Callithrix jacchus: one gene and its partner. The protein of the gene in region 2 interacts with the protein of the main gene of each other region in a pairwise test. Links are inferred from orthologs where the notes say so. Each region holds a gene or a part of one and is shown on either strand. Other genes may lie near its edges.

Region 1 (4,097 bases), on a different chromosome or scaffold from region 2:
CAAACCAACTATGGTGGAGATGATTTCACGGTCTTCAGATCAGCCATCTTGACTCTAACTGCTGCTCTGCGCAGACCCACACTTCCTCCAGCCTGCCTTACTCCGGGTTACATGACCACTTCACTTTTCATTTCCTCAGGGGGGTCGTCTGAAAGGACTGAAATGTAGGCCAGGAGCCAATGCTGATGGAAAAAAAACAAATCAGCTGTGCCCAACCCCACTCAAGTAACTGGACATGTACCCTGATGGATGGTTGTCTGAAGGCTCCAACCCCAGGGCGCCAGAGCCACAGTCACCGGAAATCCCTACCCTAATGGTTTCCAGCGTGACTGCATGCCCAGCATGAGGTGAGGCCTGAGGGTGCAACCATGAGTGAGCAGACAGCCTGCCACCTTCCACCTTTGTGAACGACTTGGTAACAACCACACCAGAATTTGTCTGAATCTATCTTTGGAAAGCACAAAGTTGTTCTGACAAGGTCTCAGAGGAGTGCAGTGGTGTGACCTTGACTCACTGCAATCTGTACCTCTCAGGATGCCTTAGCCTCCTGAGTAGCTGGGATCACAGGTGACGGCCACCATACCCGGCTAATTTTTGTATTTTTAGTAGAGAAGGAGTTTTGCCATGTTAGCCAGGCTGGTATTAAACTACTGACCCCAAGTGATCCGCCAACCTTGGCCTCCCAAAGTGCTGGGATTACAGGTATGAGCCACTGCGCCCAGCCTAAAATACTTCTTTTTGATGCCTGCCTAAGAGTGGTTAATGGACTGGCTTTGCAGTGTAACTCAGACTGTGGAGTTAAAACTTTTGCCAAAATCTATCAATCTATAAATAAGCCAAATGCCTTCCATTTACCAAGCACTCTGACTTCCAAAACACTGCCAAGAACATATCCAGCTGACCACCTGGGTATAAATGTTTAGTCAACCCAAACATCTAAAGCGTGTTTTACTCACAGGCTGCTAAGGCATATATACAGGTTCAAAAGCAACAATATGGCATGTGACAGGGTTAACTGGTAGGTTAACCAGGCACCCAAAGTATGACCCACCCAAATGTATGGGTTCAGCCTAATGCTGTCAGCCCACTGGGTCCTGAGTCATCTCTCAGGTGAAAAGTGAGAAGGGTATGAGATGTAGGGACTGTTCACATGCGGATTAATCTAAAAAGTGCGACCAGAGGCATTACTGACATCCCATAGGATTCCGGACCCTGGCTGTGCCCCAGCCAAACACACCCCAGAGATGGGGCTGCTGGAACAGAGAATAGGTCCCCTCAAAGGTCTGCATCAGGCCTTCTGCAGGCACACTGCCCACGAGGCTACACATCCTCAAGTTCAGGGGGTCTTGGAATAACTCCTGTATTGCACAATCCCACTGACAAGTACGGAAAATTAAGTTACTTTAAAATTATGTACAAACTTGGGCTGGGCGTGGTGGCTCATGCCTGTAATCCCAGCACTTTGGGAGGCCAAGGGGTGGGAGGCGGGGAATCACCTGAGGTCGGGAGTTTGAGACCAGCCTAACTAACATACAGAAACCCTGTCTCTACTAAAAATAGAAAATTAGCCAGGCGTGGTGGCACGCGCCTGTAGTCCCAGCTACTCGGGAGGCTGAGGCAGGAGAATCGCTTGAACCCTGGAGGTGGAGGTTGCAGTGAACTGAGATCATGCCATTATACCTGGGCAACAAGAGCAAAATTCCATCTCAAAATAAATTTTTTTTACAAACTTGAAGATGTCAGCCAATCTTTCAATACACTTGTGCCCACATGCATATTCTTCTGTTGTAAATATGACAACCCAGAATGTTCTAATCCCATTTTTTTTTTTTTTTTGAAATCTACCTTGAGAATGTTAAAGGACAGCTCATGAGTACTACTACTTCATGGGCCTCTCATTTTGCCAGCATCTTAACCCTGTGGGACTTTCATTTGCACTCAGTCACCGCTCCAAGGCCTAGGGTCGCAGTGCAGAGAGAACCCCCAGCGGTCAGTCATGACGGCGGCCGCGAGGTGGAGGGCAAGCCCCGCTCCTAGCCAGGCCACTCCCCCAGCTCCACACGGCATTCGGGTCTTTCTGACATTATCCCCCACGCGTGCAAGACGCATGGGCAGCCTCTGACTGGGGAGCCAAACATCCTCGGACAGGGCTGCGAAAGAAAGAGCATGGCCTTTGTTTATCTCGGAGACCTCAGGCGCGGAGCAAGCCGACACTCGCCCGCGGCCCCGGCCCTGCCCCGCCCCCTCCCCCTCCCCTCCCACGGGCCGCGGCCCCCATCACGCCCTGCCCCTCCCCTGGGCCCGCCTCCCCACGCCCCACCCAGCCCTTCGCGGGTCCGCTCCCCGACGACCCTGCCCCTTCCCGACTCCGCACCCCCGAGACCGTGCCCCGCCCCGGGTCGGCTCCCCTGTCCCCTCTTTCCCACCCCTCCCCTCTCCAGACCCCGCTCCCCCACCCCCCGACCCTGCCCCTCCCCCAGGTCCACGCCCCACTGTCCTCCCCAACCCCGGCCGCGCTTGTCTAGTGGCCGTTGGGTTCTAGCGACGACCCGGCGGCGGCAGGGCTTGCGCGCGGACCCCGCGGGGGCCGCCACTTCCTTCCGCGGTCGCACTTGGTCTCGGTAGCCGCGGGGCCCGGGTCCTCAAACGGCGGGTGGGGACGGCGGGGCCTCACCAAGATAGATGTCTCCGAAGGAGCCGCTGCCAATCTTCCGACCCAGCCGGTACCTGTTCCCGACTCTCAGCTCCATGGCGGCGGCGGCCCGGTTCGATCCTGCCCTCCCGGCCGCTTCCTGGGTCTGAGCTCCGGGAGGCGGCGCCACTGCTGCCGCTACTGCGGCTCCGGCTGCCGGCTCCGCCCCCCTCACGGCCCCGCTTTCACCATCGCTTTCCCGTTGCCCCGTCGCTCCCAGCGCCTCAATACGGGGCGGATGGGACAGTCCAAGCGCCGCCGCCGCTGCTCCGGCCCCTGCCGGCGCCGCTTGCCCTCTCCCCGCCGCGGATGGACTCGGATCTTCGGGGCCTAAATCCCCTTTCAGCAGCCTGAAGGAGCCGCCGCCATCGCGCTGTGACGTCACTTCCCTTGGCAACCCCCTGGCGGGTGGGGCCGCAGTGCTCGAGGGGCGGGGGCGGGTGGGGCGAGCGCTCCCAGCCTCCTCGGACCCTGCACCGTCTCGCAGGGCCCCAGTCCCTCTGCCCGCCCATTATCCCAGGACCTCAGGCCGCCAGCCCCTTCCACGTGCAGGCTCCTACCGCTCTCACTGGGGCTTTTCGTGTGTCCCCCGAGATTTCGGGAGAGCCAGGTGAGTTCCTGGAGACAGGCGGTGCCCTTTGCAGGAGGGAACAGGTAGCTGAGGCCCGGCCCGGAGGACACAAGTGAGACCTTCTCACTTGGCTGCCAGTTCCCGGGCGTGGGGCATCTCAGGACGTCAGCGGCTTTGCCTCCTGACACCTGAGGCCAGAGACAGAGAGGCCCGCACCCTGGGAGGTCCTGATGTCCAGCCTGAAGGATGAGGACGAGGCTACCACCTTTCACAAAATGAGGACAGACCACCTGCCTCCCACCAGTCCCTGCGGCCTGGAGACCGAGTCAACATTCTTATCTGTGTTGGATCTGAATATTCCTCCTTGCAAAAGAAAACAAGGATGTGCACGTTCAGGCTGACGGTCAGCTTCAAAGATTGGGGCCTTTGATTCCCATCACTGGGAAGAAAGCCCTCCAGAGAAGCCCCCCCAGGCTGCGGCGCATGGGGACCATGAAGAACCAGTCCCCGTGGTCCCATGTCCACCTGTCTCAACCTGTCCCATCCTTGCTGAAACTCAAGAAGGTGAAACAGGTGAATTCAGGGCTCTGGTGTGGGCACCGTGGCCTAAGTGAGACAGAAGCCTCAGCTGGCATCTGGGTCACTGCAGAAGAGGAAAGCAGCCCCCGAAGGGCCCTGCAGTGGCACCCACCAGTCTCCATCCCCGTCTTTCCTCTCCACCCCTCAGCTCCCATGGAGGTAGATATCCCGGGGAGGCAGATATCCATTCCTGAAGTTACACAGTAGGGCCTGAAGACAGGAGATGCAGTCAGCCAGACACCATCAGTCACTAAC
Region 2 (3,500 bases):
CTGCGGCCGGGGAGCCCTTCTGCAGGCTTGCAGGGAGGGGCTTTTCCGACAGTCAGGAACCAACTGTAATCTGGGTTACCCTGTTTCTCTTTCTCTCTCTTTTGAGATGGAGTCTCCCTCTGTCACCTAGGCTGGACTGTAGTGGTATAATCTCGGCTCACTGAAACCTCCACCTGTTCAAGCAATTCTCCTGCCTCAGCCTCCCAAGTAGCTGGGATTACAGGCATGTGTCACGACGCCCGGCTAATTTTGTAGTTTTAGTAGAGATGGGGTTTTGCCGTGTTGGCCAGGCTGGTCTCAAACTCCTGACCTCAAGTGATCCACCCATCCCGGCCTCCCAAAGTGTTGGGATTGTAGGCATAAGCCATTGTGCCTGGCCAGGGTACCCTGTTTCTAATCCTGGTGGTGACCATCAGCAACACTGACAGCATTTAAGCAGTCTGTGATTTATGGGGCATGTTAACATTTAGGGACAAGGGCCCCTCCGAGATGCATTGGAAAGAAGGCCTGCCCTAGGCTGACAACTCAAGACCAGTGTGGCTACAAGAGGGGGTCAGGGGACATTCTCAGGCCTCCAGCAGCCCCGCTGGGTTCCTGTTCTCAAAGCCAAGGCTCTGACAGAATCATCTTTACCTCTAGCTCTTCTAAGGAGGGTGCTGACTTTTAAACTACTTTCATCATTTGAGAAATAGCCTGAACGCTTAGACTGTGTCCATGGAAGCCTTGAGAATGCCTGATTCCACTCCAGAGGATTTATACTATTACCCATAGAAACGGCTCTACCCAGATCAGATACCTGCAGCACGCAGCCCCGGGCTGACTGTGGCCTTGCGCTTATCGCCGGACCTTAGTGTTGGGACGTTTGCTGGGAACTCGCACTTCCTCTTCAGGGTGGAAGCCTCACTGCAGCTCTCCAAGTACCTGTGTGAAGGGCATGAGCCACTGGTGATGCCACACAACACGAGGGGCAGGAAGGCAGGAGATGGTGGAGACTCGGCGGGAAGTGCCGGCGTACCTGATGACGCCATCCAGGCAGCTGATCTGCTGGTAGGAGCAGGTGGGCTGTTCCCTGCAGGCCAACTCCTCCGGGAAGCTGGCCCCCACGCTGTCTTTTTCCACGGCAGGGACAGCTTTCATTTCAGCTGGGGGACTAGTCTGCATTTCTGAAGAAACGGCAAAATGGTTTTCATTTATTTTTCTCCTGAAGAAAACACTGTGTATTTAGAAAGCATTTTCGTTCTACCTGAAGACAGGGCTGGGGACTCAGAATCTGCTTCACGGGTATGGAAGCCCAGGGACAGCTTGGCATCCGGCAGCCCTGTGGGCACGAGCACCACAGTGCCGTCCACAGGGAGGCCTGGGAGGGGGCTGCTGCCCAGCCTGGTGCCTGCTTCTCTCCGGGGTCTAGGCCATCCCCAGGGGTCAGGGACTCAGCAGTGGGAGATGCCAGCTCTCACTTGAACTCTTAAACTTTCAGGGCCAATGAGAGCCCATGTACTTTAAGTCCCTCCTGGGCCAGGCCAATGTTTTCAATGTGATCTCTGCTAGTAATGATTATGATGCCTACTGCCTCCTGCACTATGCTGTGGAGTCGACTCTTGCCCCCATGACATACATCACATGCCTGTCCGTAGGGGCCCTCGAGCAGAGCAAACAGCTATGTCCACCTCATCAGTGTCTCCCTGAAACCCGGCACAGAGTCCAGCATGCAGCATGTCCACCAACGCGTCCCAAAGGCCAGAAGTCCTAGCAGTGTCTGGCTGGAGTGTGCTCTGGGCCCGACGTTTCCCACAGGAGGCTTTGGCCTGAGCATAGGGAATGAGCAAGGGCCCAGCAGGGGGAGGACTGGGACACATGCATGTGTGTGCACGTCTGTGTGCGTGCTGTGTGAGAAATGCATGTTGGGCAGAGGAGCAGCCTGAACCCGAACCCACAGGTGACGGTGTGAAGCTGCCTGGGAAGTGTGGCACGTGGTGAGGCAAGGGCTGCTGCAGTGGGAGTGGGTCGATGGCCTCTGGGTGACACTCTCCACTTGAGACAGGTTTGTGTATGTGGATGCTGGGTAGTCTGTCAGCAGGTGTGTGTGTGTGTGTGTATGTGTGAGTGTGTAAAGGTTATGCAAGTGTAAGCACATGGCCATACAGCCACTCTACAGCAAGAACGAGCGGCCCAGGCCATGGCTCCCAGGCACATCCAGCGGGCAGGCAGGCACACCCGGCCACAGCTCTTCAGACCTGCACACCTGGCCACACTCCACCAGGCCTGCAGGGCACCAGGTACCCAGCAGACATCAGTGCCTGCACTGGCGGAGTGAGCCCAGGACCAGGCTGCTCTCGCCTCCTGAAGCTGCAGACTGCTGAACACAGGAGGAGGTGCAGCCCTGCCCGCCACAGTGAGCGTTCCACCCAGGTCCCTTTTCTCACTCGGCCACACTCTGGTTTCAGTAAGGAAATGCAGAATTTTTTTTTTACCTGTAACAGGTTTTTTCTTTTGTTCTCCAGATTCATGAGAATAATGACTTCTGTTTTTGGTCTTGTTACCATTTTTACAAATTTCCTTGAAGAAAAATAAAATGAACACGTTATTCGTTTGAGGAGACCTCCTTCAGTTTGTCCCCCAAAGTGAGAACTGAGGATGGCTGAGAGAATTTCGGCAACACAGAAGGAAAATCTGAATGAGAAATCTGAGAGGCAGAGCTACATAAAACCTATTCGAAGATCCTAAGGAACAATAAAAAATAAAGCAAAACAGCACATTAAATTTTCTTCTTTTTTTTTTTGAGATGGAGTCTTACTCTGTTGCCTAGGCTGGAGTGCAATGGCACAATCTTGGGTCACTGCAACCTCTGCCTCCGGGTTCAAGCTATTCTCATGCCTCAGCCTCCTGAGTAGCTGGGATTACAGGCATATGCCGCCATGCCCAGCTAATTTTTTGTATTTTTAGTAGAGATGGGGTTTCACCGTGTTGCCCAGGCTGGTCTTGAACTCCTGACCTCAGGTGATCCACCTGCCTCAACATCCCAAAGTGCTGGGATTACAGGCGTGAGCCACCCTGCCGGGCCTATATTTTCTTCTTTCTATCCTAGTTAAATCTTCACTGTTGCTTGTTTGGTCTGTTTTATGTAAGTTTCAACCAAATGCTTAGCTATAGCTTCTAGCTGTTTAGACTCTTAAGAAATTAAAGAGTAAGTCCCAAGTGAACAAAGTTTAGAAAGGAAGCAGAAACAGCTGTGATGATGAAGCCTCTCCTGACTGCCAAGGGTTGTCTTGAGTGTGCTTTTTAACTCTGAACGGACGTCCACAACCTCATTTTCTCAGGGAGAATGGAAGGGGACGTACGACTCTCCTCTGGCGTGAGTCCTCATGGCCATTGCTGTCACTGGAGGAGGTCTGGCTCATGAGGTGCTCGTGGGACCCGTTGCTGCCCAGACTCCCGTAGCCACTGGAGCCGCTGTGGGGGACCGGCTGGGGAGAGAGCAGACAGCAATACAGACACAGCCA

The links.
Region 1: the proteins of PER2 (region 2) and CSNK1D interact in binary tests that used the Homo sapiens proteins (3 or more experiments, as listed by UniProt). The link is inferred for Callithrix jacchus from reciprocal best matches to the Homo sapiens genes PER2 and CSNK1D.

The regions. Positions count from the first base shown.
Region 1 is NC_133506.1:137,905,637-137,909,733, forward strand, and holds the start of CSNK1D (casein kinase I), read right to left. Parts: upstream 2,801-4,097; 5' UTR 2,751-2,800; coding exon 2,675-2,750; intron 1,983-2,674; exon of another isoform or gene 1,846-1,982; intron 1-1,845. UniProt on the Homo sapiens protein: Essential serine/threonine-protein kinase that regulates diverse cellular growth and survival processes including Wnt signaling, DNA repair and circadian rhythms. It can phosphorylate a large number of proteins.
Region 2 is NC_133507.1:159,581,891-159,585,390, forward strand, and holds part of PER2 (period circadian protein homolog 2), read right to left. Parts: intron 3,465-3,500; coding exon 3,339-3,464; intron 2,557-3,338; coding exon 2,472-2,556; intron 1,164-2,471; coding exon 1,016-1,163; intron 922-1,015; coding exon 797-921; intron 1-796. UniProt on the Homo sapiens protein: Transcriptional repressor which forms a core component of the circadian clock.